2 linked regions of the Anolis sagrei genome follow. The protein of the gene in region 1 purifies or fractionates together with the protein of each later gene. This does not show direct contact. Links are inferred from orthologs where the notes say so. Each region holds a gene or a part of one and is shown in the gene's direction. Other genes may lie near its edges.

Region 1 (16,178 bases):
TTTGGGGGGTGAAAAGGCTCAATGCATGGCTCTGTCTCAGACACCAACTGTAATAGACACTGTTGGAATGAGATACGCGGTCCATCTACACTCCGGAATTAATGCAGTTTGAGCCCACTTTTGCAGCCCTGGCTCAATGCGATGGAACCCAGGGATAAGAGTTTCAATCAATTCAACATAGCTTGCGGCAGCCACAAAAATGAAGTTTCTGGAGTGTAACAACTTATTTCAAGTACCACACAATTAAACAGGAATATCACTTTTAAACCAGAGACAGATTTTTTTTTTCAAATTTTGTTACATAGTGTTATCAAATAACAGTAGTCTAGAAAATAGAGACCTTATGTTCTAATTCAGGGGTAAGGAACGTTTAGGCCCATTCCCTTTTGTAGAAAATTACTCTTGGGAGTGATAACTTGCTTCTAAACATCCCCGTGACAACCTAGTCTGGCGATAAAGTTGACTACAAAAATTCTGAAATCAAAACCAGAGATAGAAAAGCAGGAAGGGCAGCAGGAACAAAAACTCTCAACACTAATTGCAAAGAGTGGCCCTTACCCTAAATAAACATTTTCACATAGAGTCATTTGGTCTCCTTCATTATACAGTATGTCAACTAAGTAAAAAGGCAACACCCAACAGCTGGCTTTCATAACCCAAGCCAGCAGCTGATGGGATTGGGTGTGGAGACCAAGTCCCATCCCCATTCAACAAAAGAATGGTAAGAATTTGCCTCTAAACTCATCACTGCCTCTAGGGGAGTTATGCAACTCAGCCAGAGGCAAAGGATGGGGGCAGTACAAGACTGTTTTACTTCTGTGGCATCCTAGTGGCCTTTGTGACCCACTGAACTATAGCCAGCTAGCGCAAGTAGTAGCCAAATTCAGCAAGAGGTGTAGATTTAACCCAAGAGCTTGCTACCTGAATAATGACTTAATTTATGAGCTGCAACAAAAACAATCTTATAGAATGTGAAACAAATGTATTTGATTTGACATAAGATTTTGTAGGTCACAGTGTATAATTATTTTATTAACTTCCTCCTTTCTTCCATTTCTATCATGTCAGTTTGCAAGCAAAGTGGTATATGGATTAAAAAGTAAGAACTGCAAGCTCCACCTGTCTATAACACATCAGGTAAAATTTCTCTCTTCCTTCCCTCATCCAACAAGAAAAACTAGATTGGAAAGAAGGCACCAAATACATAAATAACACAGCCTTATTGCATATGCGAAAAAGGTGTTAGTTCAGTGGGTCTTACAGATAAACTTGCCCAGAATTACAACTTTAGGATTTCTCCCAAATCTTAAAAAGTGATGGGAGCAGCTGCTGTGGAAACTGAACTAACAGGAGAATAAGCCTAACAGACCATGTTGTCAAAGATTTCATTACTGGAATCATTGTGTTGTTATGAGTTTTCTGGGCTGTATAGCCATGTTCCAGAAGCATTATCTCCTGACGTTTTGCTCACATCTATGGCAGGCATCGTCAGAGGTTGTGAGACTATCTATCTCAGAGCATTGAGGTGAAATTGGAGTGGACCAAGGTTGACATTTTACTCACCTTGCCTTTGGAGCCTCCGCCAACTGCCACAACAGTGGCTTGTAGTACTTTTCCTTGCGACTTTTCTGGGAGCATGATGCCTCCTTTCGTTACAGTCTCTGCTATGCATCTTTCAACCAGGACTCGGTCAAACAGCGGAAGAAATTTTTTAAAGGCCTGCCCTGCCTGTTAAGATAAACCACAAAGCAATGTGATTCTCAGCTACAAATCATGTGAATCTATCAGGAAATGATTCTACTCTTTACAGCGAATATGACACACAGAGAGGAAGGCAGTCTGGAAAATGCTCAGATTCATACAACTGCTCTGTGGACAATGAAGCTTTGTGGAGGTTTTAACTAAGGCAACTTAAACGGGGGTATTTTATTCAAATGACACCAGCTACAGAATAAGCAACAAGAATGATTGACAACTGGAAAATAGAGGGAGAAACCGTGGAGGCCGTGACAGACTTTGTATTTCTAGGTGCAAAGATTACTGCAGATGCAGACTGTGGCCAGGAAATCAGAAGACGCTTACTTCTTGGGAGGAGAGCAATGTCCAATCTCGATAAAATAGTAAAGAGTAGAGACATCAGATTGGCAACAAAGATCCGCCTAGTCAAAGCCATGGTATTCCCTGTAGTCACCTACGGATGTGAGAGCTGGACCTTAGGGAAGGCTGAGCGAAGGAAGATCGATGCTTTTGAGCTGTGGTGTTGGAGGAAAGTTCTGAGAGTGCCTTGGACTGCGAGAAGATCCAACCAGTCCATCCTCCAGGAAATAAAGCCCGACTGCTCACTGGAGGGAAAGATACTAGAGACAAAGTTGAAGTACTTTGGTCACATCATGAGGAGACAGGAAAGCCTAGAGAAGACAATTATGCTGGGGAAAGTGGAAGGCAAAAGGAAGAGGGGCCGACCAAGGACAAGATGGATGGATGGCATCCTTGAAGTGACTGGACTGACCTTGAGGGAGCTTGGGGTGGTAACGGCCGACAGGGAGCTCTGGCGTGGGCTGGTCCATGAGGTCACGAAGAGTCGGAGACGACTGAACGAATGAACAACAACAACAGAATAAGCCTTCCTGGAGGTTTAGCTGTACAGATTCAGCATAATAAGAATGGAGAAAACACGAAGGCTATTAGCACAACATATTTTGTGCTGTCCTGTGACTCCACATATGAAAAATGGGGAATCAGCAGAGTGGATATAACCCATGAGCAGAAATGATGTGATTCCTATCCAGTATCTCCACTTCTATTAATTTCAATCATTAATTGGGAGAAGAGGGAAAGAGCAGGAAAAATGCAACTCTCCAGATCTTGCTGGATCAGACTCCCATAATTCTTTCCCAGTACAGCTGAAATGCTGGAAGTTGCAGTCTGGGAATATCCGAAGGGCTGCACTTTGCCCAACCTTGTAAAGAGGATTATCTGAAGGTATTTAAATGTGTTTCCTGGCCCTGCCAATACCTTCAGCTGCACCCACTGCTGGAATTTCTCCTCTGGGCACTTTGAAAAAAGGCCTCATACATTTCGCCCTGGAGAATAATTCGTTGCAAAATGAACATCCTTATCAGAGATCAAAGTAGCCAAGACTCCCTGAGTGATCTTATTTGAAATGTTGTTGGTCAAATTACTAAGTCAAATTTAATAATTAATTCACAAATATTGGATTGGATGAAATTATAGAAATGTGATAAAAATGTTGTATTACAATTAGTATCAGAAGTGGAGTGGGCAGATCAAAAGACAACCTGGCAAAATGGCACTACCTAGAAGAATCCTCCATCTTGTGTGACTGTGGAGCAGAACAAACAACTCTGCACCTATAAGCTTGCCCACAATGCCCTGCCTCATGCCCAGAGGAAGAATTGTTTAAAGCCACAGACAATGTGGTTGCTGTTTCCCATTTTTGGACAAAAACTATTTAGATGCTTGTGCTCCCTCTATCAGTTTTTTATTCTTATTTATGCAATGCTTTTGACACAAAATTATATATATATAATTATTATGAATTTCAACTAAGACCAAATATATAATCAAGAATGCCTCTCAGTGCATTCCTAGTTTTGACTTATTAACCTGCAAATGAATAATCTGGAAAAGAAAACAATGCAGTTAGTAAGAATATGGTCCTGAGTTTAACTGTTAATCACCACAAGGAAATTATTAACTGCAGAAGTGTATTCAGCATTATCAGCACTCTGAACTTTGAATTGTAGAATATTCATTAACTTTTGTAACCGTCCTTTCCGTTTTCCCATTTGGATTTGGATGCCTCAAGTAGCTTAATTATAGACTTTTCTGTCATCTTTAGAAAGCAAGTCAATACTTTTTATTGCCAACATTATTTTTCTTTTTGTGATGTAAAACAAACCTGGATTTCCAAACAGGCAGTAGAGAAAAGATAACGAACATGGAGAGTAGCCACTGATTTTAGTTAAAAAGTAAACTAGACAATGTTGAGAAGGAAATGATCCAATGCAGATGGCCCTGGCTGTTTTCCCAGTCCCTCCCAGCTTCCTCCAGGCTTGTATAAAAAAAGGCACTCATAGAAGCAGCTAGAAAATAGGAGAAAGGCCAGCATAGCTGAACCCATTAGATGTCGCTGTTGCAGAGGCAGTGATTGGGAAAACGGATTTTCTATCAGGCAGAACAAAGGATCAGTTACTTGAAGGACAAAGTGTCCTACTGAAGACTTTTAAATTTTGTTCACGACAAGAAATAATTTCTGCATTTTTATAAAGCCTTTAATGCTGTGGCTAACAGTTAAGTTCAGTCCATAAAAATAACAAGAATTAATCATACAAAAGGGAATTGCTAACCAATCTCTACAGTTATCTTGTAAAACAATGTTAAAGCTAAAAATAAATCCTACACAAACATATCTCCCTAATATCTAGCTACCAGTCCATAGGGCAGATATGGAACTTTGTGGTGTTGGCCCCTTCCACACAGCTTGATAAAATCCACATTGGACTGGATTATAGGGCAGTGTGGACTCAGATAACCATATTTTATTTAAAAGTTTCAAAACTCGTTCCCCTACTAAGAATTCTCACTCTTAAGTAAATAAGCAGTTTAAACGGCAATTACTATTGACAAAGTCAGCTAAACTTCTCTGGAATCAAGACTGTATCCAAAAAATGCAGACAAGTAAACTCCTTATGAGCCAGCGTGAGGTAGTGATTTGAATGTTGGGACTTCAGCTTTGGGGACCAAGATTATTTTCCTTCTAGTAATGGAAACCCACTGGGTGACCTTGAGCCCCAGAAACCCCTGTCATAAACTTACCTTGGGCCACCTTTAAGTTGGAAAGGGCTTGAGGGCACACAACAAACTCCTTACACTTGGAAAACTGAAAATGCTCTTTTTTAAAACACTACCGTAGTTGCCACCAATCTCTCATCAAGCACCAAATCCATTTAGATATGTGCACTACATGCTTCTTTACCACCACTGGGGCAAAAAGTAGATCCTGCACACTGAACGGCTGCAGAACATTAATCCACGTGTTCTGACCATCATGTGATCTTAGGCATTTTCAAACCTTAGTTAAGTTTGTCTCTAACCATGAACCCCTGCCTTCCATAACAATGTGTTTCCTCATGTGTAGGTTCCCACTTGAGAAAACAGATTGCAAAATTAAAGGATTTTGTCAAGTGTATTGAGTAAAAGAAACAATCAGAGGGCATGCAATTACAAGGCTGCTCAGAAATACTTCAAACACTGTAATGGAAATATTGGTGACCACGTATTTATTTATTTATCATTTATTTTGTTTATGGAGACTCAAAGTGGCACACAGCAAAAAACATTTCAACACAACTTAAAATATACAAATATTAAAATGGTTTTTAACATCATTCATATTAAAACAATCGAGGTTAAAAACATAAAAGCATATAAAATCACACCCCAAGGCCAAGATTTCTTAAACTGTGGATCCTAACCCCAAATGGGGTCCCATTAGCTCAATGCTGGGTGTCACAAAAAAGTAAAAAGCCAAAACATGGGCAAAAGTAAAAGTCTTCTGAGGGGCCTTCCACACAGCCATATAAACCAGAATATCAAGTCAGAAAATCCCACAATATCTGCTTTGAATGGGATTGTCTGAATCCACACTGCCATATATCCCAGGTCAAAGCAGATAATGTAGGATTATCTGCTTTGGGTCTGAATGCAAATCTATTAGTAACCAGGTGTAGTGCTTTCAGCCAATTGCAAAAAAGGCTTCATAAAAAGGAAATTCAGCCTGTTTAGCAAGCCCTGCAAGTGCAAATTTGTTAGCAGTAAATGTTGTATTTGTATACCTATTTTATATACCTATGTACCTGAGGTAATTTTTCAGCTGCTGTGGCTGAATGACCATCTGTCAGGGATGCCTAGACTTCTGTCTACACTGCAATATAAAATGAAGATTATCTGCTTTGAACTGGATTATATGGCACTGTAGACTCTGGGTCCTTCCACACAGGTGAATACAATCCCACGTTATCTCCTTTGAACTGGGATATATGGCAGTGTGGACTCAGATAACCCAGTTCAATGCAGGTATTGTGGGATTTTCTGCCCTGATATTCTGGTTTATATGGCTGTGTGGAAGGCCCTCATGTTATCCAGTTCAAAGCATATAATATGAGTTAGCTTCTTTGCTCATCTGGATTATATGGCAGTGCAGAAGGGGCCTTTGATTGTGTGTTCCTGTCTGGCAGAATGAGGTTGGAGTGGATGAGCTTTGGGGTCTCTTCCAAACTCTAGGGGCCCTTCCACATAGCCCTATATCCCAGAATAACATGGCAGAAAATCCCACAATATTGGTTTTGAACTGGGTTATCTGAGTCCACAGTCAAATAATGTGGGATTTCCTGCCTTGATATTCTAGGATAGAGGACTATGTGGAAGGACCCTAGGATTGAATAAAATATCTGGAAGGGTCAGTTGGTGTGAGTTTTCCGGGCTGCATGGCCATGTTCCAGAAGCAGTTGCTCCTGACCTTTCACCCACACTTAAATGCAAGGCCATTCAATGCTAATCAAGGTGGCCAATTGCAACATTCACACGTACCTCAAGCAGACAAGAGTTATTTCTCCCACCCTGGACATTATTCCACAGATATATAAACCCCACTTGCCTAGTTTCCAACAGACCCTTCATCCTCTGCCATAGATGTGGGCGAAATGACAGGAGGGCATGCTTCTGGAAAATGGCCATGCAGCCTGTAAAACTCACAGCAACCCAGCAATTCCGACCATTAAAGCCTTCGACAACACATCTGCAAAAGTATGCCCTCACCATCAGACATATCCTGACAGGAAAGATCCTTGTTGGGTTAGCTTGGAGTTTTTACATCTCCATGCTGCGTCCTTGAACCTTCTTCTATTCGCAGGAAAACCACGGAAATAGCACAATTTCTTTTGGAGGCTGTAGTGGCTGTGATAAGAGAACCCCCTCCTTTAGTATCCCCACGTGTAACTCATAAAGGGGGTAGGAGACGCCACAAAGGCCATCTAGTCCAACCCCAGAGGGCCCTTTTGGGTGGTCTCTCATTTATGTGAATCCATGGGCCCTTCCACATAGCCCTCTATCCCAGAATATGAAGGCAGAAAATCCCACATTATCTGAATGTGAACTCAGATAACCCAGTTCAAAGCAGATACTGTGGGATTTTCTGCCTTGATATTCTGGGATAGAGGGCCGCGTGGAAGGGCCCATGGATTCACATAAATGAGAGACCACCCAAAACTATAATTGCCCTGCTTAGATCCTGAAAACTCAGCACTATAGCTTCTTTGATTGAATCGTCTTGTGGTTGTGTGCCTTTAAGTAGTTTTTGATTTATGGCAAACCCAAGACAATCCTATCATGCGGTTTTCTCCATGCGGTGTCCTTGAACCTTCTTCTATCCGCAGGGGGAAAAGGAAAAAAACACAATTTCTGAAAACGGGGGCTCTTTTGAAGGCCATAGGTCCTTTCCTTCCCTTCCTTCCATGATATGTCTGGGTGATGATTATTATGCTATGTCTCCATGCTGTGCAGTCCTGGAAGTTATGGTTTCCCAAAGACCATATCCTTCTTTTGGTGCACTTACACTATGGAATGAATGCTCTTGGACCCCACTTTAAATATCATAGCTCCTTACTATGTGGTCCTGGGAATTATAGTTTCCCAAGGTCCATACCTTTCTTTGCCTTCAAGTAGTTTCTGATTTATGGCAAACCCACGACAATCCTATCATGCGGTTTTCTCCATGTTGTGTCCTTGAACCTTCTTCCATTCGCAGGAAAAAAGGAAAAAACACAATTTCTGAAAACGGGGGCTCTTTTGAAGGCCATAGTGGCTGTGATAAAGAGAACCTACTCCTCCAGTATCCCCACGTGTAACTCATAGAGGGGGTAGTAGGAGATCCACAAAGGCCATCCAGTCCAACCCCAGAGGGCCCTTCCACACAGTCCTACATCCCAGAATATCAAGGCAGAAAATCCCACATTATCTGAACCCAGTTCAAAGCAGATATTGTGGGATTTTCTGCATTGATATCCTGGGCTGTGTGGAAGGGCCCATAGAGAAGGACCACATATTTTTCCCCCTTCCTCCCTTTGCCTTACCATGGCGCGCGCCCTTCTGCTCTTTCCTCCTCGCGACGGCTCGCGCGCTCCGTCCAATCCGCAGAGAAGGAACGCACGTGAAAAAAAGGAAAGCGTGGCACACTGCGCATGCGCTCGCCACACCCCGTCCGGGATGGGGAACTATTGCTTCCTGTGGCTATGAAAGAGGGAACCGGGGGGGGGGGCGAGAAAGAAAACACCCTTTGGATGTATAATTAGTCAATTTCACACAGATCCTTGGCCGGGTTGCTTTGCTCACTCGCAATCCTCCTAGTTTTAATACTTTTCTCTCAGGGGGCAAAGGGGAAAGGCAGGGATGGCCTCCGGAAGTTGCGAAATGCTTCCCGCGACCTTTGGCGGAGCATGGGCCTACCAGAAAATTCTCGAACCCGGCGGCCCCGGAATCTGAATAAACCACACAGCGCGCGAGGCAAGCCTCGGCTGGCCCCGCCCACAGACTCACTCGCAGGAAAGTTGCGCCTGGGTGACGTCACGGCGGGAGGGTGTGCGGTTAGGCTGGTTCCGGGGCCTCTCCCATGCGGCCGGAGGGAGAGGGGAGAAGGGGGCGGGGCCGGAGGGTGCAGTCGCGAGACGTGAGAGTCGCGCGCTGGGGTTGCGAGCTGCGTGCGCGCGTGGCTCAGCAGCAGCTTCTCTGCCTTCCCTTGATCGTCCCGCTGCTCTTGCAAGTAAGTCCTCACATAGTAGGGGGTGCAAAATAAGGGGAAAGTCTCGGAGTTCTTTTCAGCCGTCACCCCTTCTGAGGAAAGTGGTACGGTCCGGCTGAGAGCGAGGGAAAGCGTGGGACTAGGGAATTGGTACCTTTGCGGGGGGGGGGGGGAATCTCTGAGTTTCCTTTTAGGTGTATTATGAAAATGAGTGTTGGTTTTATTTGCTTAGGAGTTTTAGAGTATAGCCAACGGAATAAAGGGTTGGACTGCGGGCTATATAAACCAGAATATCAAGGCAGAAAATCCCACGATATCTGGTTTGAACTGGGTTATTTCAATCCACACTTTGAACTGGGTTATCTCAATCCACACATTGAACCATATTCCAGTTCAAAGCAGATAATGTGGGATTTTATTCAGCTGTGTGGAAGGGGCCTGCGACTACTCCCATCCCCAGGATGATGTAATAATATCATAATGGCCTCTCAATACCATTTTAAGTGTTCTCACTACATGGTTATAGAATTTATAGATTATAGGGTTTATAATTGGAAAGAAAAGGCTAAATATCTCACAAAATGAAACATCCCACAGGAATGAGACATCCCACAGGGGGCAGTTTAAAGAAGTTATGATTCTGCAGCGTGGCTTCTAAGGCCCTTTCCACACTGTGGATTGTATACAGCTGTGTGGAAAGGACCCAACACTGCCATATTAAATCCAGATGATCTGCTCTGCACTGCATTATATGGCAGTGCAGACTCCTTTAATCCAAAGCAGATAAATGTGGACTATTTTCTTTTATAATCTGCATTATGTAGCAGTGTAGAAGGGAACTAAAAGTATTGAAGAGGCACGTGTTTCATTTGCCAGAGTGTGAGACAGGAGGCGGAATCTCTCACAAAACTACACATCCCAGAATTGACTTGGTTTAGAATTGGGCTGGTCCCCCCCCAAGCCCCACCTGTTATTTTCTCCAGCAGTAAGATGCAGTGATTGCTTATTTAATTAATGCAGTTTTCTAACGTTGGCAGTCTTTAGGAAGAGCTTGAAGATGTGGTTGTTCCAGTGTGCCTTCCCAGAATAGGAAACTCCAAGCATCATGTCTCAAATGCACATTACTAGAGATTTAAGATTAATTGCATACTGCATCTATCTCCAAAAACCATTTCACTTGATTATGTCCAGCATTTTTAAATATTTTAATAATTACATTTGGCCCGGCCTTAGATTTTAACTGTGTCGTGGTGTTATTGTTGTAGTTGTTATGCTATTGTTTTACTGTTGCATTTGGCCTCGGCCTCTTGTAAGCCGCACCGAGTCCTTCGGGAGATGTTAGCGGGGTATAAATAAAGGTTTATTATTATTGTTGTTGTTATTATTAAACAGAGGCTGGGCGACTAGGAACAATGGCTTTAAATGACAGGAAAGGAGATTCCATCTGAACATTAGGAAGAACTTCCTGACTGTAAGAGCTGTTCAGCAGTGGAACTCTCAGCCTCGAAGTGTGGTGCAAGCTCCTTCCTTGGGGGCTTTTAAACAGAGGTCAGGTGGCCATCTGTTAGTGATTACATGCATGTGGTCTCTTCCTCCTCAATGTTTCTGAGACAGGTTGATTACACATAGGAAGCCCTGGAGGTCATGAAGGACTTTCTCTTTGCACGCCTTTTGCGGGGGTTTCTTGTCTTGGGAGGTTATCATTAAATGATCAGGGTAGAAGGGGGCCTCCGATGAGCCTTTATGAGCCTTGATCTGTGTGTTACTTTTCAAATTTGGGTGCCTCTGGCTATGTAAGAGGAGGAGTCTGCAAAGGTGCTTGCAGCGCCGCTCTCCGGCCTCCAGGGGGCGCACAAGGCCTTTCTCTTCCTCTTTCCATTTGACCTTGTGCGGCGCGACCGGATGGCGAGGAAAGCGCACGTGGGGCCCCAAGATATGCTTGGCTTGCTCCTTGGACTTTCCCCTCTTCTGCCCACCCACACCGCCCCCTTTGCATCAAGTTGTACTCCCTTTCTTCTTCATTGCTTCATTTTATCTTCTACCCAAGTTAACCCATCTACCAGAGTCCATGCTCTTGCTTTCCTCTGACTTTGATACAGACTCAACCAGTTTTGAGATGAAAGGCGGGGTGGGGTGAAAGAAGTTGATGGTATTCAGTACTTCCATAAAGTTGTGTACCTTTTTGGAGTTGTTACCAATTCATACTCAGACAAACTCTCTATTCTGTTTAGAAACATTCTCTAATTGTTTTCATTCTTTGACTATCTCCATCCTTGCAGTGCATACCAAAAATCGTATAAAAGGCATGGGCAAACTTCAGCCCTCCAGGCGCCTTGGACTTCATATCCCACAATTCCAAACAGCTGGTAGGAGATTAAGTCCAAAACACCTGCAAGGCCAAAGTTTGCCCGTGTGTGAACCATAAGCTCCATATTTGGTGGATTCAGCAAGATTTGTTCAGCAATGAATGGCCTTGGTCTTCCTCTGAGGCTGAGAGAGTGTGACCAAGCCACCAAGTGGATTTTTGTGAGCCAAGATTTCAACCCCTGTCCCTCAAAATCTTGGTTCAATACATAACCACTACACCAGTGGTTCTCAACCTGGGGTCCCCAGATGTTTTTGGCCTACAACTCCCAGAAATCCCAGCCAGTTTACCAGCTGTCGGGATTTCTGGGAGTTGAAGGCCAAAAACATCTGGGGACCCCAAGTTGAGAACGACTGCACTACACCATCCTGGGTCACCTAAGATTAGTTTCAGTAAATTGTGCTTCTCTTTCCCCACCCCCCACTTCGGTCCAAAGGCAAAGAGATCATAGGAGGAAATGTGCAAAAGGGTTTTTTTGGAGGGGGGGGTGAAAAAGCTCAATGCATAGCTCTCTCAGACACCAACTGTAATAGACACTGTTGGAATGAGATACGGGGTCCATCTACACTCCGGAATTAATGTAGTTTGGGCCCATTTTTGCATCCCTGGTTCAATGCGATGGAACCCTAGGAGTTGTAATTTGGTGAGGCAGAGAAAGCACATTTCTAATAAGCCTTGAAATGGCAAAAAAAAAAAAAAAAGCCCACAGCAAGGTTCAGCTATATCAATGACACCTTCACCATTTGGAGCCATGGGGAAGAATAATAGAATCTAGAGTTGGGAGAGACCTCATGGTCCATCCAGTCCCTTCACCATTATAAACTGGGGTCCCTTCTACACTGCCATATAAAATCCAGATTTGAACTTGATTATATGGCAGTGTAGACTCATATAGGAGCCCCCTGGTGCTGCAGTGGGTTAAACCGCTGAGCTGCTGAACTTGCTGATCAAAAGGTTGGTGGTTCAAAGCCAGGGAGTGGCATGAGCTCCCACTGTTAGCCCCAGCTTCTGCCAATCTATCAGTTTGAAAACTTCAAAAAATGAGTAGATCAATAGGTACCACTCTGGCAGGAAGGTAACAGCACTTCATGCAGTCATGCCGACCATATGACCAAGGAGGCGTCTACAGACAATGCTGGCTCTTTGGCTTAGAAATGGAGATGAACACCAACCTCCAGAGTCAGACTCAACTAGACTTAATGTCAAAGGGAAACCTTTACCTTTTAGACCTCATATAACCCTGTTCAAAGCAGATAATGTGGATTATCTGCTTTGATAATCTGGATTATATAGCAGTGTAGAAGGGACGCTTATTTCAGGGCCCTTCAGCATAGCCATATAACCCAGAATATCAAGGCAGATAATTCACCATATATGCTTGGAACTGACTTATCTGAGTCCACACTGTCATATAACCCAGTTGAAAGCAGATAATGTGGGATTTTATGGAGCTGTGTTGAAGGGCCTCAGGATTTGTTTTCTAACCAAAAGCCTAGTGGGAATAAAATGCAGATCAAAAACAAAGTTGGTATTCAAAAATAACATTAAAAAAGAAATTTAAAACTCAACCAGTTAGACTTCTCTTTCAACAGTAGTGCAGTTTGAACGTCATAAGCATAGCAGAATAAAAAGTTTTTGCTTGCCAATACAGGGATTGCTGCTAAAGGGACATATTATGCCTTCTTTGATCTGTTAGTGGTCACGCTGTTCGGTTCGTGGAAGAACACTATTTGGGAATGCAGTGCTGCTGACACCCAGATAAAGTTTATGGAGCTATGATCAAACACAACTTTTTGGGATCACTTCAGGGCATAGGGAAGAGGTTGTAGGCCAATTTAGTTTTTATACCTCAAAGAGACCCATGGGCTCATTAATGCAAACGGACCTATGTCATACATTAATTAGCATTCCTAAAGGCAAGCAGTTTGCTTGGTGGTTCTTTCAGTGGCAAAATAACAGAGTGGAAAAGAGTTGATGTACGAGATTGGATACTTTATGTAATTAATTGAAGGCCACATAAGCTTGGAGTTCATGGTTACAGACTGCACTGAAGATTAGCCTCCAGGCTTGGGACACTAGGTACTCTGCTCATGTTGAAGCCTGTGTAATTTTTATCTCTTTGTTTATAGAAATGCTACGTTTGCCAACAGTGCTTCGTCAGGTGAGGCCGGTGTCCAGAGCACTTGCCCCACACCTTACAAGAGCCTATGCAAAAGATGTCAAATTTGGAGCAGACGCGAGAGCGCTCATGCTGCAAGGCGTGGACCTGCTTGCCGATGCTGTGGCTGTCACCATGGGACCAAAGGTACAGAGGTTAATTTTCATGGAATTGATTAAAAGTCTGGTTTTTTTTCCCGGTGGGAGGATTGAACATGTGATTAATACATCCTGATGTATCGAGTATGCTTACAAGCACTTAATTCATACCCTTGGACTCTTATTTTTAAGTTTTGCTTGTAAAGATACTGCAACTTAACATACTTGCCTGATGTGAATGAGTTTGTAGCAAGGTGAGTGAAATATGAGGCAACCTCACATTCTATGAGATTTCAGAGTGAAAAGAAGCAGGAGCAAACTGTATTGTGTGGGAGATTTACAGTGCCAGGACTACCATACAACATGGAATAGGTTTCTTTCCAATTTCCAACAGAAAGGGCTATTATAGCTTCATGGAGAATAAATGCAGTGGAGAATGTTCACTATCTTCTATGACTGCTGTAACCAGAAGTTTTGGTGATCTCTGTTGAGAAATGTAGCAGCTACTGGTACATTTCAAAATAAAAATAGATATCAATAAAATTACATTAATTGAGGCATCAGTAGGTTAAATGCTTTTGAATATTTACATAAAACTGTAATTTCAGATAAGACTTTCCAATTCTGATTAAACCATTATTATAACCACCTTCAATGTAAATGTGCTTATATATCCTTCCAATAATAATAGCCAAATAATAAATTATTATTATTATTATTAATAGAGTCTATAATGGAAATGTAATAATAACTAATAGAATAAAATAATAAATGTAATAATAGAGTAAAATCATAAATGTAATAATGATGGTGATAATGATGATGGTGATGACAGTAAAATAATAAATAACCTTGACTCATGTATAAGCTGAGGGGCCATCTCCAGAGGGTGTGGAGGGTACCCTGTGGAAATAAACATTTTAATTGTGTACTCTAAAGGAGCAAGGTAGCAGTTGAGGCTTATTCTTAATCAGTAAAAAAGATAAGTGGCGTGAGTCTAAGTTTACTATTAAGTTTTTGAAGTCTCTTGGTAGTTGTTGTTTGGTTGTTGATATTCCAGGTTTCCATCAGGTTCCTACTTTGTTTTATTCCCATTAGCCTCCATGCCTGCTTGTGGTTTCTTGGGCAGAGGTCCAAAGATTTGCTTGAGTACATTTTTAAAAATGTCAGGTGCCCAGAACTCCCTCTGCTGTGTTTTCCATGACCTCACATTCGGAAGAGACACTCAGAGAGCCAGGGAGATGTGTTTTGCAAGCTTCCTAGCAAAGCGTTTGTTGGAAGAGTCCCACCAATAGTCAAGAATGAATTTCAGAGACATTCCAGTTGGTGTATGTATCATATAAGCACCCACTTCTCAGATAAGTGTGGTTATCACCATCCCCTGTATCACCAAAGCTGGTCAGAGTACTTCATTGTATTCTTATTTATTGCTATGGTATCATGGTTGCTGGTTACTTAGGTTTGTGTTCTCTATTCCAGCAGCTCCATGAACATCCACATAATAGGAGCATTCACTTTATTTTATTCTGACTGCTGCTTGTCCTGGTCAACACTGATGTGTTGTTAATATATCGTGTGAATCACAGTATAAAGCAGCGAGCTGCCAAAAGGCTCTGATAGTATTGGAAAAAACCAAAAAGCTGTTTTGGATGCAAAACTCTCATTCTGGGTTGTTAAAAACAGTAAACATTAGCAAAAATTGTACACAAGGTGTGCAAACCTTTTTTTTAAAAAAAATCATGTGTTGCATTAACAGGGGAGAACAGTAATCATTGAACAGAGCTGGGGAAGCCCTAAGGTGACAAAAGATGGTGTGACAGTAGCCAAGGCCATTGACTTGAAGGACAAGTACAAAAACATTGGCGCCAAACTGGTTCAGGATGTTGCCAACAATACCAATGAAGAGGCTGGAGATGGTACCACAACCGCAACAGTATTGGCACGGTCAATTGCAAAGGAAGGATTTGAAAAGATCAGTAAAGGAGCAAATCCAGTGGAAATTAGGAGAGGTAACAATCTTGATAAAATTTGTCTTGCTTTGTGTTTTAATGGTCTGACTGTACAGTAAAAATTGAGTTGGGTAAAGTTTTTCAATGGAATTTGCATGACTCCACAACATTTAAATGCAGCATTCCCACCCCAAAGTGGCATCCTCCAAAGGTTTTAGACTATGTTTCCAGTTATCCATAGCAATTAGCCATCATTGTTGGAACTTGATGGAAGGCTTACTTTAAAATGTCTGAAAATTGCCTCATTACAAGGCTACTCTAGCACAGTGGTTCTCAACCGGGGAGTCCCCAGATATTTCAGCCTTCAACTTGCAGAAAACATAACAAGCTGGTAAGCTAGCTGGCATTTCTGGGAGTTGTAGGCCAAAACACTTAGGGACCCACAGATTGAGAACTATTGCTCTAGTACTTTCTGTCAAGTAATGTGTTGAAACTTCCCATGTTTAATATGGTTATGCATTATGTAACTGTGATGATATTTGTTAATAGGTTTGGGGGCTGAAGTCATATTAATTTATGTATTTGCCATCGTAAGTACTGAGAAGATTTTAAATTGGTGCCCCCAGTGGCACAGTGGGTTAAACCACTGAGCTGCTAAACTTGTTGACCGAAAGGTCGCAGGTTTGAATCCGGGGAGCGGGTGTAAGCTTCTGCTATCAGCCCCAGCTTCTGCCAACCTAGCAGTTTGAAAACATGCAAAATGTGAGTAGATCAATAGGCACCGCTCTGG
Region 2 (16,373 bases), about 59 Mb from region 1:
TAAACTGACTTGTTTTGATAATTGTAGAATCCTATTTTTATATTTATATTTTGTAGGTTTAAATTTGTATTGTTTTTAAGGTTGTGAACCACAATCCAGAGAGAAAAGTGGGGTACTACTGATGATGGCGGTCCCTTCCTTTAGCTTTGCAAGACTGATGGTTCATAACAATAATGGAGAGATACCTGCAGAACAACAATCTAGTATGACCAGTTATTTCCAGGATTCTTAAGTATCATCCAGATTTAATACAACACAAAAGTCACATGTTGCCCTAGGAGACTGTCACATACCTAAAGAAAAATTATGTACAAGAAGACTAAATAAAAATATATAACTAAAAAACATAATACATAGAAAGATTTGGGGTAAAAAGGACTATTTAGCACAAATAAAGACAAATCTCTCTGGTACAGACTCACCTCCATGAGGCAAAGCAACTGGATCTTTTGCAGGAGAAGAGCTTCATTTGCAGCCAGGTCTGGCTATAAAACATGATAGTTCAGAACTTAAGTTAATCCAAAAACCTTCCTGGCTATAATGCAGCAAGATGTATGCCCCAAGCCAATCCCACAATCCTTGTCATTTCATTGCTAAGGATAGGAGCCCCCTGGTGCTGACTGAAAGGTCAGCAGTTTGAATCCAGAGAGCGGGGGGAGCTCCCGTCCAGCTTCCTATGCAGGGACATGAGAGAAGCCTCCTACAGGATGGTAAAACATCTGGGTGTCCCCTGGGCAACGTACTTACAGACAGCCAATACTCTCACTCCAGAAGCAACTTAGTTTCTCAAGTTGCTCCTGACATTAAAAAAAAGCTTTCAATGTTTAAGGGATGTCCAGATGAATCCCTTAAAACCTTTTCATAAAGCCACAAGTAAAATGATTTACTCTCGCACTCCTCCCAAAGTATTTAGATAATGCCCAATGTAATGGGAAAACCTCAAACTGAAATTAGAAATGGGCTTTCAACTTATGTTTAATTAGAAGACATGTTAATGGTCATGTACAGTACTTTCATATTTTTCTAGTCCCTCACAGGCTGCAGAAATACCTGTTCACCTATTAGTTGCTCACTACTGTCCTTGTACCAGGTACTTACCTGCTGGCCCCATGCTGACTTCAAAGCCTGGAATTTCTCCACATTGCCGCTGTTGAAGGCATAAAGAGTATCAATCAGCCACTGTCTGTCAGTGTCCCTCAAAGACTCCAGCACTGGATGCATAAGCTGAGAATGGAAAAGAGGCAAGATGCTGAAATATAGCAGCCAGCTTCCTCTACCACAACAATTTAAACAGTAAAGTTCTGCTACTTACCAGTTCTCCAAAGTTATAGACTCCTTCACCAAGGAGTCCTGCCAGCCCCAATGTAAAAGCTCTCTCCTGTTGGTCTGCCACTGGGAGGAAAAATGTCCTCGGTCAAACAAAAGTTCTACAGTCCAGCCTTTTAGTATCTAAAGATTTCCCAAGCTCACAGTAGTTGATAGATTCCAGTAAGTGGCATCTATATCATTTTGAAATAGAAGTTGGATCACCAATATTTTCCATCAGCACATCTGTATATTATTTAATTTAAATGTAGATTTCCCCTAAAAGCAAAACAAATCTATACATGCACACACAATGCCAAATTCCTATGTACTAAAGGATCTTTAAAAAAAAAATGAAAACCAACTGAGATGGGTTTTTCTGCATGAAGGACAAAGAGAACCCTCAAAACTTTGTTAGTTTAGTTGTGGAGAGGGTGCAATTGTAAAAAAAAAAAAAAGGAATCATAAGTTGAAAGGGACCACATGGGCATCAGTCCAACTTCCTACCATGCAGGAAAAGCTCATTTAAAATACCCCTGACAGATGGCTATCTAGCCTCTGTTTAAAAGCCTTCAAAGACGAAGCCTCCACTATTTTAAAATAAGGAGTATTTCTAAAAATCCTACAGAGGTCTTATTCTAATAACTTTTGCCCTAAGTGGCTCCAGACACAGAATACAAAGTTTTTCTAGCCAACTAAAACTAGAAAGCTATAATACTTAGACCCCTGCTTCTGAAATACTAAATATCATCGTATAACTGATTCAATAAACAAATTACCATGATCAAGTAATTTTCTTCCCTGTTCTAAGCTTCATGTTCTGAGACTCAGAGGGCAAGCAATACTCTCAAGAATATAATAGAATAACTTTATTGCCATTGTACATTGCACAACAAAATTAAATGCTTTCCCCAGCACACATCACAAAAACCAACACACATCCCTCCACACTCCAACCACCACCATACAAGCTTCCACTTGATACAAATATCCATGAGTACAATTGCAATATGTTTAAGAACAGAAAAAAGGAACATTACCTGGTAGATCTCTGACATCTATACATCCCAGAAACCTTAGAGCATCCTTATAGTAAGATGCATGATTTCCGATTGTCTGATAGTATTTGCTGGAGAGGTCATAAAAGCGGCTATGAACAGATGTCACACCAGGCAGATTATTCAGCATCTCCTCAACTTCCTCTATGGTTTCCTAATGGAAATAGATGGGATATTGTCTCTTCATGTTGATCTCCAATGTAGCACAAATCCTATGTAAAATCATACTATATATTTTTGACATTAATATCGAAATCTGAAACATATACAGAAAGTCTTTATACACCAGCGTATGACCAGTCTTGTCACATTTCAATCTCTTAATATCACAAGGAAATTGCAGAAAATTCTCAAATAGTAAGGATGACAAGAAACAATAATATTTTAAAATAGGAAGAAAACGCTGCAGCTATAAACAGTGGCATAAATCTGATTCATTCAAAATGCAGGATACATACAGTCTTTTATTTATGCAATATATTGTGTCCCAACTAATCAAAGACAGAGAACTCACAGGTACAGAAACCTTTCAAGTTTGTTTGTGGCAAATTCAATGCTAGCCTTAATTTCTACAAAGAATGAATGCACTGAAAGATGTGCCTCTCAGACAAATGTGAAATGGTTACACTCTGTTATGGATTGTAGTGTAGGATTATAGTGATTATATATAGAATATACATAGATGATAACAGCAGAAAGAATCAATTAAATATCAAAAGTTATAATCTCTAGCCACTTAAGGAGAACTTATATCATTAGTTATACCTAATTATTACATCCTTAGTAACATACACTTGTTAGAAAAACTCACATTACAATTTTCAGTGCAGATTGAGAATTCCTTATCCAGAAATCTGACACCCAAAATGAAAGATTGTTCAGATTGATTGCTGACATAGTGACATCTTTTGCTTTCTAATGATTCCATGTGCACAAACTTTGTTTCATGAATATAAGTCTTAGAAATATTGTGCATAAAATTACTTTCAGGCTATGTGCAGAAGGTGTATATGAAATGTTGTGTCCAAACCTGGATCTTATCGCCAATATATCTCATTATGGATTCATATGCAAATGTAAATATTTCAATATTTTAAAAAAATCTGAACTCCAAAACACTTCTGTTCCAAGTATTTTGGACAAGGATACTCAACCTGTGGTGTGATATTTGCAGTAATACACATCAAAACTGAGCACAAGGATTGGACAGACCCTAATCTTTTCCAAAGAATTCAGTAACTAAAAGACCAACATATACCAAAAGACAGAAACACTGAGAACTAAGCATTGCACAAAATTTGCCAATCATGTGACATTACATATCTAGACAAGACACATTAACACTAAAATATAAATACTGTCTTACCTTTGTGACTTGCAGGTCACCAATATTTAATTTCAGGGCCCCAATGGCTGTTTTACAAAGAATCACAGCTTCATCACTGCTTTTCACCTGGAGCCACAACATAGAAATACATCTAAACATCAGTTAAAAGCTCTGTTAACTTTATTTTCTCCCTAAAAAATTGCTCAAGGCAATTTATCACTAGCAGTATCATTTTCACTGGGTTCAAAAACTGACTTTATTCCTGTTTTGGTCATTTCTTAGCAAATCTAGTTTGTAGGGTAGTTTGCAGATGTACAAGAATAGTTGCATGTATGGCTGATAGGCCTTTCATACAATCATACTTGCCTTTTCTCGGGTCTTTTCCAGAAAAGTAAGGGCCACATTAGGATCTAAAAAGGTGTAAGTGGAAATCACATTAAGGTTCACAATATTTCATCTTAGTCTTTCACTAAAATTCTTAGTACTGAGAGTCTGTTTTCACTGTGTTTTCCCTGGGGTAAATTTGATGGTGCTCAGGTCATCTTCCTCCCTTCATTCCCAGCAAAAGTGAATCATCAAACATTTACTCAGACCTTTGGTCTAAATGAGCTTCTGGTTTAATGCTCAAAGTCAGAGATTGGACACTCTTATCCAAATATTCACCCAGTAATTGTTTAATTTATTTCTGGGCTGTAAATTTCCTAAGGTCTGGAACACCCCTAGGGACAGACACTCAACATCTCCATTAATATCTTCTCACTATGAAATAATATATTGACCTTAAAAGCCCATACGTTTAATAGTTGCTATCAATAGAAATCTAAAAGTATGATTTGTTCTCCTCACCCAAGAGACAACTGTTGTCAGATTTTCTTAAAAATCTGTTGACATGTCTGCATTATGAACTATTCCACTTTGGAAAACACACCAAAACGAAAAAGAGAATGGTTTTACCTGTCATCTGCCGCACTACATGAAGAATAATTTCTACAAGGGACAAGGGGTTCACCCTAGAGTAAAAGAAAGAATATGCACAAATGAAGTCATGAACAGTAAATACAAAAATATAGGTTATTTTCATTTTAAATGAATGTTGGAAGTTTTACCTGTGTTCAAATTCACTGATGAAGTTCTCATATAACTATAAATAAAAAATAATCAATTTTAGCATAATATTATATTTGTTGGTCACAACTATCTAAGACAGGTATTTCCAAACTCTTCATGTTGGTGACACTTAAGTTTGCTATTATTCATTATTTTCACTATAGTAAGTCCAGAAACGTATCCCCCATGGATACTAAGTTTACTTCCTCTTCTCAAATACTGAGGAAACAGATTGTGTTTCTGTTTTACTAAAAATTCAAGTTTACTTAACAATTTCAAGGCATCTAAGAAGTGAAAATATTCATAATATAACCCAATATCATTACAATTTACTATAATACTAGGAACTTTACCTTGATGAGTCCATCTCCTTGGGCAAAGCAGGGATCCTGTACAAAATCCAAAACCTGGAGAGTCAGCTGGTGCCAGAGTCTGTAAAATAGAGAGAGGTACTGATGGGAACGGAAAATGCTAATATAGCAGTAGCTACTTGTAAAACTGGGTATTCTGGCTATCTGTAGAGGCACAAATTTTGTTATCTGTCAAAGATAAACGTACTTGTGAATTAAAAATCTAATTTGAGTAGGGTTGAAACAAAGACTAAAAACCAAATTAATTTCTCAGGAGAGCATGAAAAAAAACCCTGATACTTTATCAGGCTGCCAGGTTGAGTACAATTAAATATGGTTTGTCTATTTTTAGTTAAAGGTTTCTGGATCAGAAAATTTTGTATAAAGCTCTGACAGACAGAACTAAGCAACGCATCATCCTTTATGTTCTTCAGAATCCACTATTTAGCTACTGCATTGCTCCATCAACGTGATAATTTACTGGCTTCTGCAAAGCAGGTGGAAGCAGTGGAAGAAACATGAATGTGTTTGTTTCTATAGTTGGATGTATAGCACTGAAAATTGCTTGGAAGTGAACACAGCAAATCAATGTAGGGAGGATGAGGGAAGATCCAGTATTTGTGCTTTATCTGCTCCAGATCTAACTATTACAGATATAGGATCCCTGATGTGTAGTCAGCCTAGGGATTCTACTTTTGTAATTTTAGGTGACTGAGCAAAAAAACCCCCAAACACGACCCTTTAATGAGATCTGGAAAGTTGCTGCTAGGCATTATAAATACTAGGCTAGATAAATCAAAGCCTTGACTCATTATAGAGCATTTCATATACTCACGGTCACACTTTAATTATTACATATTATATATACATTTTATGCAAACATTTTATGGCAGAACACCCACACTGCCACTTTTCAATGAAACAAACAAAATAATTTTCTCATTTGTTGATGTTAGTTTAAAGTCTTTGTCATATACTGGAGCCCCACAGTTAACATGTTTTTGTGAAGCTATACTAGAGAAATGTATTTTCAAAGGCTTTCATGGCTGGAATCACTCATGGTAACCCTATACTAGGTGATATTTTGCTCTCGCGATAAAGAAGGAAAGGAAAATCTTCAGTTGTGAACAGACCAAAATGGGGTATATACTGCAGCCAGTGAGCCGAAAATACTCAGCAGTGTACGTCTGATCAAAAGAGCAAACTGTTAATGCACCACCAACCATAGGAGAACAAGGTGAAACATGTCAGTATAAAAATTCATTGAAGGATGCAACCATCTTCAAAACTTGTGTTTACAAAGATAATAAAGTCCACCTATAGGTCTCCAGAGTAAGGGGCGGGAAAACCACTTAAGGTAATCTAGGAGGAATTACCTTTCAAGTGCACAACTGAGCATATCTTATCCAAAATGATGTTCCAAAATCTGAAATTGTGCATGCATTTATTATTCCTTTCTTTCTTTCATTTATATACCAGTTTTCTCTGTCTCTGAGGCAATGGTTCTCAACCTGGGGGTCGGGACCCCTGGAGGGGTCGCGAGGGGTTTTTAGAAGGGTCGCTAAAAACCATCAGAAAACACAACATTTTCTGTTGGTCATGGGGGTTCTGTGTGGGACGTTTCACCCAATTCTATCATTGGTGCAGTTCATAATTCTCTTGATTGTAGATGAACTATAAATCTCAGCAACTACAACTCCCAAATGACAAAATTAATCCCCCCAACCCCACCAGTATTCAAATTTGGTCCAGTGATGAAAATACATCCTGCATATCAGATATTTACATAATAACAGTAGCAAAGTTGCAGATATGAAGTAGCAATAACAATATTTTTTTGCTTGGGGGTCACCACAACATGAGGAACTGTATTAAGGGGTCGTGACATTAAGAAGGTTGAGAACCACTGCTCTGAGGGGACTCAAAGCGGTTCACAACAAGGCAAATGGCAAAATTCAATGCCTCACAAAATATAAAATACAACACATAACTAAAATAGCATATAACAATAGATTAAAACCAGTAGACTCTAAAACATTAAACATGGCAAACATGTTAGTGGCAAAGATAGTGAGGCCTTTGCTTCCTGATGGTTCAATGTACACAAAATTTGTTTCATGCGCAAAAATATTTCAAAATATTGCATAAAATTCCCTGCAGGCCATGTATAAGTTAAATATGAAACATAATTGGATTTCGTCTCCAACATATACATACATGTGAATACAGGTATTTGAAAATACCAAAAAAAAAAAAATATCCAGCCCTGAAACACTTCTGGTCTCAACACATTTCAGATACAGGAAACACCATCTGTAGTGCACGCTTCTACAGAAAGGGGCAGGAAAACTGCATAATCTGGGTAGAGATAGCTTTTAATAGCATAAAAAGATTTGGGTTGTAGGTTTTTTTCGGGCTATATGGCCATGTTCTAGAGGCATTCTCTCTTGACATTTTGCCTGCATCTATGGCATGCTTAGATGCAGGCGAAACGTCAGGAGAGAATGCCTCTAGAACATGGCCATATAGCCCGAAAAAAACCTACAACAACCCAGTGATTCCGGCCATGAAAGCCTTCGACAATACATAAAAAGATTTGTCAAGGCTGAGAAACGGGAGTGAGCAAGACCAAATAGGAAGAGAAAGGGAAGAGGAAAATCAGAGCTGTATTAAGCACATTATAGGTCAGACATGGGTAAACTTGGGCCCTCCAGGTGTTTTGGACTCCAACTCCCACAATTCCTGACAGCCTCAGGCCCTTTACTTTTCCCCCTCAGCCGCTTAAGCATAAGTAAAGGGCCTGAGGCTGTCAGGAATTGTGGGAGTTGGAGTCCAAAACACCTGGAGGGCCCAAGTTTACCCATGTCTGATATAGATGCATCCACACTGTATAATGAATGGTTTGACATCACTTTTAACTGTCATGGCTCAATACCATGGCATCACGGGAGATGTAGTTTTACAAGATCTTTTAGCATCTTCTGCCAGAGTGATGGTTCCTCATCAAACTGCATTAATTTGGGGGGGAGGGGGGGTGTGGAAATCCAGCATCAGGATGTCCAAGACCTAAACACCTCCTGAGTGAGGCGCCTCGGAGGAAACACACCGAGCAGCCCCACGGCTTCCAAAGGCCACACGCGCCCGCCCGCCTGCCGGCCTGGGCCGCCCTTTTCCCCGCTCACTTTTTGTTGTAGAGCTCCTCCAGGCGGTGCCACACGGCGGCCTGGCCAGGCCCCGAGCTCTGGCTCTGCTGCAGGTAACCCGGGACGTCCTTCATGGCGGCGCCGGCAGCGGGAGCGACGACAGAACAGTGAGTGACCCCAAGAAGCCGCACAAGCAGGAGGCCGGGCCGCCCTGCCTGCCGCCGGAAATGCACACTCACTTCCGGCAGTGGCCGCGCAGGGCATGCTGGGTACCGTATGGCCCCGCATAGCCGCCGCCGCCGCAGCAGTGCTGGAGGAGGGAGGAAGGGAGGGCGGGGCTGGTCACCATGGTAACAGAGGCCTAGTCGCCTCTGTCGAGGCCTGCACATTCGTATAGGGCCTCCGCATCCATTCACAATGCCAGTCCCACAGAGAAGGACTGGTTGCCAAGGCAACGGCGGCCTAGACTCCTCCACCGGAGCCGGCGCTTTCCGATGGGGTCGAAGCTTAATTTCATTTGGCCGACCCCGCGTGAGGGGAGAGAGACCAGGCTGGGAAGGGGGGGGGGAATCGGTCCCCATGACAACATAGGCCTGCGCCTTACTTAGAACAGTAGAGCTTCTCTAAGTAAGTAAGAAGCCCCTTTCCGCCCCCCATATAGGCCTGTTGGGTGGCATTAGCACACAGCACACGTGTTTCGCTTGCGACAGTGCCTCTCTCAGGACAGAGGTGGCCCTAGGTAATTTTCAACTTTAAGCAAACACTATTTTGGCGCCCCCCCCCCCCCCCCCCAGCCAGTCACTGATATATATTTTCTGTTTGTCGTGGGAGTTCTGTGTGTGCCATATTTGGTTCAATTCCATCATTGGTGGAATTCAGAATGCTCTTTGATTTTAGGTGAACTATACATCCCAGTAACTACAACTCGCATATGTCAAGGTCTACTTTCCTCCAAGAGTGCCCCTGGGCAAAATTAACTATACTGCAAAAGCTTACTTTGTGTAATGGGTTGAGCCGCCCCTGTCTCAGGATAAGCAAGTTCAGTGTTGAGGGCTGTCGAAATTATCTGCGCTGTTACAACATTTTGAAGGCGGTAGCGAAAATGTATCCTTGAAGATGAAGTAGAGTAACACAGGTTTTGGACTTCACATCCCAGAATCCATGGTCCCCAAAACCTTTGGGAGCAGGCCTTCAGAGAATAAGGAAGGCAAGCTCCTGGCCCAGTAGGAGCCACCTTGGGAGAAAAACTAAACGTTTGGGAAAGAGGTTTGGGTAAGAAAAATGTAAAAATAAATAAATATCCTTTTCCCAATTCAAAAATACAAAAGGTAATAACTGCAGAACATTGGAAATTTAAAGCACCATTTCATATATTCGGGTTTGAAATTTGATTTTCTAAGTGCTGCGGATAATGAGGGCCTGTCGCCTGGCAAGATCTTCTAAATAATATTCTGGAAAGATCAGGACCCTCCAGCTGAAGGCAAACAACAAAGGCTTTATTTAATCTGTAGAAGGGATGCAATGTACTGTACACACAGTGGTTCATACCAAACTAAAAACACCTTGTCAAACATCCACAGGAAACAACAGCAAAAGCATGATTAAACAAATTGCAAGTTCCTCACAAACGTATACTGTAATTGAGATAGGAGAGGGTAATAAATTAACAGTGGAGAAATTGTAATCATGATTCTTATTTTGAGAGCCCCCCCCCCAACACCCACACACACACGGTAATTCTATGTATTTGCAACATTATTTGTACTTTTGGTTTTGCTTTTTCTATGTATATATAGTATTTTTCTTCAGCAGTTCAACATTGCCAAAATTGTCATCAAGCTATGCACAGTCATGACAGCATTTCTGACTTCTCATAGCATTTTCCTACTTAGCATTATTTCATTGATTCATTGTCCTAACATTCTCAAAACCACAGTATTTAACAGCTAAATTTGTACTGGGCATACCACGCTAGCAAGGCAATCTGTAAGAGGGACTTCAATTTCAGTTTTGGTTGTATTCATCCTAGGAGGAAGCATATTTGTGTGCTGACTGTATGCCCACTACCTAACAACTGATCAGCATTGTTAGCCTTGACAAAAAAAAATCACAGTTGTGAAAGAAAAGAGGATTATTCAAAACATTTATGGAATGAGATAATGCACTGAATAATTTCTAACTCTCTAAGGTCTAATATGATTTTCTGTGACGAGTTTCATCCACAGTAGCATGCTGTGATCTTATTTGATCTTTGGAGAGGTGATGTGAATATAGCTGCATCAAGGCAGAAGACTCAATTGTATGGATTTTATGATTTTCAGCAGCATGTGTTGGTCACCAGGAATCTTGCTTGTTTGGCTGTCTTGCTCAGTCCAGCAACATGAGCCACCTTTTCATAACTATAGATTGTATAATTAAAAATTAACGGTATCAGTGTTTATTTGAAATAAGATAAGACAAGGTCTTCTGGAAAAGTAGTGCTGTTCTGAGATCTGCAAAAAATCTCGATGCACTTAATAGTGCAAAAAACAGGCAAAGGTTTTAATTGCCTGTGCTTTAATACTGAGATTTTTGAACTAAAATATGCGAGCCTCCTTGGGAAATTACAACATTGAAAGATCTGATGAGATAAAGTAATTGTAATTTCCTAGTATCTGCTTTCTTCCTCTTGGATAACCTTTAAAAGGCTAAGCTATTACAAAGCATAAGCTAATTTAGGTTCTCCTATTAGGAACATTACGGTAAAGAGCTGTTCAGCTGTTCTTCCTGGCTGAAGATCACTAAAAGCAAACAGAAAGGTGGTTTGCTCTATGCTCTAGAAAATCTCCCACAACCTTCACATCACTGATACAACAAGGGGGAGGAGGAAGACGAACAGGGTCCTGTCCAGCTGTGTTGGTGGAACCATTAATTTTTTCAGAAGCAGTAGAAGGAAAGGCATTCAGAAACATATCAGACAACTTTCTCTTGCATTTCTTATTTCTTGTACAGGACCCAGCAGTGAACAGGGAATGAACTGGCGATTACATTTCAGAGTCTCAGTAGCAAAGCATGTACTTCGTGCTGCAAGTTTTGAGAGGTTAATGGGTGAGTAGAAGACTAATTCAAGGGAACAGTATGTTATCTAAAAAGGGCACCCTGAATATTGGGAGGAATATGAAGAGCTGGAATGGAAAATCCCACATATGTGTATGTAAAATCTTTTTTAGTATTAAACGAAGAAAAGTGAATGCAGTGTTATGGTGAATGAGACCATTGGTCCAACTTCCTCTGTACAAAGTAGTGACTGCTTTAATTGCATCTCTTCAGGATCTCTGGAAGAAAGAAGTCTTTCTTGACCCTGCTGCAGCCTGAAATTTTAAAATTAGCAATGTCACAACCTGAATTTATACATTTCTTCATTCAAAGCATATACTACTTAACCCTAGTTCAGAATTGAAACTGCATTACATTTATGCTTGTTAACAGAAGTTTTGGTAAGCAGAATGATTTGTAATTCTACTATTATCTCAACAGTAAAAGGAGAATTAAAATGTAAGACCCCTCCCCACCTTTGTATTTTTCTTTATCTTTTCTCTTAGCATGCATAGATTAGTGAGCTCGTACTTGGGGCAAAATCCTATTTCTTTGCCTGCCCAGTAGCAAACACATCGTAGACAATAGTAATGTATATTCCAGAAAACAGTCAGCTATATAAAGTTTGAATTAACTGAGTGGTTTTTCCTTCTGCGTAACATTTCACATTCTGCATTTGAAAATAATTGTTTGTTTGTTTGTTTTTAAAAGGTTGGAGGTATTTCTGGATATGTGCTCAGCAGTCCCATTACAGGAACTCCTTTATTTCTATAGCACACAAAAATATGACCCTCATTTCATTAAGACCAAACTTTTCTCCTCCAAATGGACATGTCTTACTGCAGAGGATTCCAGGAGATAACATTAGCAAAATGTCAAGCATGTTTGAAGACAGGTATGAACTCATGTTTGCTTTTTGTACTCTTTCTACTATGGGTTTTCATTCTGGCATGTTTCCTGTTAACTTGCTGAATTATAGTAATTCCTGATGCATATTAAATGTCCATGCTGAATCTGATAATCTAGGCTAGTCTTATGTTTCCAGTCTCAGTTTGAGAACTCTGCAAGCCGATGAGCTCAGGTCAACTTATACCAGTCTAAAAGAATTTCTTTATAATCAGGGTTGGAGAACTTGAAGCCCTTCCGATTCTACACTGCAACACACATCATTGGTTGTGGGATTTGCAGCTGAAGAAGCAGAAAGACACAACATGATCACTTAGAAGTTTACCTAAGGGCTTATGGGATTGCTTAGGAAAAAGAAATATGTGCAAATTCCAAGACATATGCTTCCAAATAGCAGCTGTTATTTCTCTTATCTTTGTCCTTCCTGCTTCAGTCATGAGAATCGTGTCCCTGCTTAGTGCAAAAACCATCAGATCCAGCTCCTCTTGCTTCTTTATATTGCCAAGCACACTCCACCAGTATCCTGGACCTGTCAAATTTGCCATTGTTATTGCCACTCATTCTAAAACAGTGCTGAGAGTATGAACCCTGGAAAATACTAATTGTGATTCAGAATGCACAAGATCTGTGTTTCTGTAGAGTACAGCTGGATTAAGTACTTCCAAAGCTGATTTCAGATTGAACAAGGCTTTGAGGAAAGTGCTTTCCAGAAGCACCACCACTTTTGACCTTACCAGGGGACAGTTAATAATGGACACCAGAGGAGGTAGATAATAGTCCTGGTACCAACCAGCTGGCATTCTCAGCCTAATGCTATGAAGAGATATAATGAGTAAAGCAACTGTTGTTACTGCCATCTTCTTCCCCCTGTCCAACACTTTCGAATTCCACCCCAATGTGTAAGTTGGACCTACAGGCATTGGAAACAAGCAGGCAATTGCTATCCTTGTTGCCCTGGAAGAATGGAATCCATCAATGGCATTCCAAACTCAAAAAAGTATGTGAGAAAGACTCTATAAAATATACTTCTGATTACATCTGAAAGGATAAGCATTGTCAGAAAGACAAATTGATTTGTATCCCCATGTATAAAGCAAGTTTGCAAGACCAGTTTTTAATTTCCCTAATACTTGCTCAGACTGTTTTATCCTAGCTTCAGTAATTCCATTTTGGTGAACAGTGTTCTTTTGTAATCTCTTGCATATTTATTATATTGCTGGCAGGATCCAAGGAGTCAGGCACTTTTCCCTATCCACTTCACCAATGCTGTTCTTTGGAGCTGGCAAAGGGGGAGACAACAGTGGAAAAGAGAAGCTCACCCTGAAAGATGTGACAGAATTAATTCGAAAGAAAGAATGCCACAGAATAGTGGTAATGGTTGGAGCAGGGCTCAGCACTCCCAGTGGCATCCCTGATTTCCGGTAACACAAAAGCTGAAATGGAGGCCTTGCCCTCTTAACTGCACGAGCATTGCCCCATGGCTACCACCTAGGCCCCAGTTAATGTTGTTTCAAACTGATATTGAAGAAAGTGGTTTTACTATGTAGATGGATATGTAGAAACACTGGAACTGGTCTGAAGCCCAGATGATGATTACATACCACAAAGCATTGATGTGCATTAAGGTTTTCTTTTGCACGCTTCTGTGGGAGTTTGTTGTCTGGCCACTGCAGTTTGAATCTGGTCAGTGTAGATGGGGACCATGTTGGGTCTTTATCTGTAAAAGATATTGTCAGCAGCCTTCACATTAGTCACATGAGGAGCAGAGCATAGGCAGAAAAAGGAGACTTGGGTGCTTTTAAAAATTATTAAGGGTAGTTTCCTTTCTTGGCAGGGTACAACTTTTTTATTTAATGTGAATGTAACAATCCTATGTTTTACTTACATTTGTATTGTATGTATACACTGAATGTCTATGTATTTAGATACTTTTGTATTACTGCAATTAGTGGATACTGGTCTTTCTAGGGTATTACATTAGATCAGTGTAAAGGGCCTTGATCCTACTCACCCACTCACTCTCACAGAGAGAGATGATACCTTTCAGGGGCTTACTTCCCTAACATATTCCACATCCCATTTTAACCCTCTCCCCGTTTTTTTCCCTTTTTGCAGGTCCCCTGGGAGTGGGCTATATAGTAATCTCCAGCAGTATAATATTCCATATCCAGAAGCCATCTTTGAACTTAACTACTTTTTTCACAATCCTAAGCCTTTCTTCTTGTTAAGTAAGGAATTGTACCCAGGCAATTACAGGCCTAATTATGCCCACTACTTCCTCCGTCTTTTGTATGACAAAGGGATCCTGCTGCGCTTATACACCCAAAACATTGATGGACTGGAAAGAGGTAAGCTGGAGACAGACACGCACTAGAGTCTTAGACAAAAGCCAACATGGAGGCCCTGTCAGTCTGTAGCAATGAGATTTTGGGTTGTGGGATTGGTAGTGTCATCCACTTTACTGAACTGTAACTGTGGTTGATGGAAGAGTTTGGCTCAACTGATCTTCTTCTCTCTGCCTTTTGTGTTCTAGTTGCAGGAATTCCTCCAGATAAACTAGTTGAGGCTCATGGCACATATGCTACAGCAACATGTACAGTCTGTCGAAGATCATATCCTGGTGAGGATTTCAGGGTAAGAGAAAATACAACATACACCCCCTTCAGGACTAGCAGAAGCATATTTCTAATATTGTTTTATTGTTTACCTGTGGGGCATTGAATTTTTGCCAGATTTGCAAGCCACCTTTAGTCCCCTCCAGGGTTGAGAAAGGTGGGGTAGAAATGAAGTAAATAAATCAATATTAAAAAGGAGATTACACTGGTCTTAAATCCCTGGAATTTACTTTTGAAGCTCTTTCAGGGTTGCTTTTGGTTTCATCAGAGCTTGGCACGTACAGAGTGTGGATTGTCTTTTCAGGGAATATGATGTCACAGTGTGTCATAGTGTCTTATATATGTTTATATTCTTTTACTTGTTCTTTTGTTTCAGGGGGATGTGATGGCAGAGAAGATTCCCAAATGCCCCATCTGCACTGGAATAATCAAGCCAGACATAGTGTTCTTTGGGGAAGAGCTCCCTCATCGGTTCTTCTTGCATGTGACCGATTTCCCTATGGCAGACCTGCTATTTATCATTGGAACCTCTCTTGAGGTCTGGGCTGTCAGAAACATGGGAAGAGAATGAAAGCTGGGTTGTCGAGACAGATTGGTTCAGGGACTCTGAAATGTATAGAGTAAACAATGAGAATGCAAAAAGAGAGACACAGTGGCTGTTAAAGAAACCAACAAACCCCAATGTATTTTAGGACATGTGAGAGACAAGTTATAAAAGAGCTTGGTAAGCATGGATTGAATTCCTAAGAAAGGATTCTTAACTATCGAGTAATGAAGAAAAGATGAACAACTTCTAACAAATTCTGAGCTGGAAAAGATGAATCTGGTAGTCACTAGGTGATTCCAGAAATAAGGTTGATATCCGATAACAATTAGATATGCACAAAAGAAAAAAAAATAGGAGGTTCTCAAAATATTTCCTCTGGGGGCCTTTCCACACAGCCCTATATCCCAGAATATCAAGGCAGAAAATCCCACAATATCTACTTTTCACTGGATTATCTGAGTCCAAACTCAGATAATGTGGCATTTTCTGTTTTGAATTTCTGGGATATAGGGCTGTGTGGAAGGGGCCTGAGACACTGTTGCTTGAAATAACACTGGAAAGCCATATTTTCTCCATCCTATACAGATTCTGTCAGGTACAAGTGGGGAGGGGAGCAATATAGTTCTTGCATACATGAGCAGTAAGAATCAGATGATCTGAATAAGAATATTCAGTTCTCTAAACAAGAACTTTACAACTCTCTTTGAATGAATGAATGAAATGAATGTGTGCCCGGTGTATTGTAAAGAGAGTGACCTATGAGGCAGTAAAACCGGAATTATTATTAGCTCAGCTATAAACTCATATTAACAGTTGTCTTAAACCAGCCACTATCTCAAAGCACTGGCTGAACTGTGACATACAGATTATTATTATTATTATTATTATTATTATTATTATTATTATTATTTGTACCCCGCTAGCATCTCCCGAAGGACTC

What was found.
Region 2: the proteins of HSPD1 (region 1) and SIRT3 purify together in Homo sapiens (affinity purification with mass spectrometry; 3 studies listed by BioGRID and IntAct, counting the BioPlex papers as one, with this or other methods). This does not show direct contact. The link is inferred for Anolis sagrei from reciprocal best matches to the Homo sapiens genes HSPD1 and SIRT3.

Annotation. Positions count from the first base shown.
Region 1 is NC_090021.1:178,704,564-178,720,741, forward strand, and holds the start of HSPD1 (60 kDa heat shock protein, mitochondrial), read left to right. Parts: upstream 1-8,723; 5' UTR 8,724-8,839; intron 8,840-13,312; 5' UTR 13,313-13,314; coding exon 13,315-13,488; intron 13,489-15,195; coding exon 15,196-15,448; intron 15,449-16,178. UniProt on the Homo sapiens protein: Chaperonin implicated in mitochondrial protein import and macromolecular assembly. Together with Hsp10, facilitates the correct folding of imported proteins.
Region 2 is NC_090021.1:237,802,335-237,818,707, reverse strand, and holds the start of SIRT3 (NAD-dependent protein deacetylase sirtuin-3, mitochondrial), read left to right. Parts: upstream 1-8,601; 5' UTR 8,602-8,917; intron 8,918-8,924; exon of another isoform or gene 8,925-9,029; intron 9,030-11,010; exon of another isoform or gene 11,011-11,088; intron 11,089-11,094; exon of another isoform or gene 11,095-11,281; 5' UTR 11,282-11,301; coding exon 11,302-11,377; intron 11,378-12,076; coding exon 12,077-12,260; intron 12,261-13,494; coding exon 13,495-13,692; intron 13,693-14,386; coding exon 14,387-14,619; intron 14,620-14,804; coding exon 14,805-14,905; intron 14,906-15,262; coding exon 15,263-15,424; coding exon of another isoform or gene 15,425-15,457; exon of another isoform or gene 15,458-15,610; intron 15,611-16,373. Other genes in the region: PSMD13 (26S proteasome non-ATPase regulatory subunit 13), read right to left, coding at 423-485, 1,099-1,224, 1,313-1,392, 2,346-2,517, 3,730-3,816, 4,057-4,100, 4,645-4,700, 4,797-4,831 and 2 more.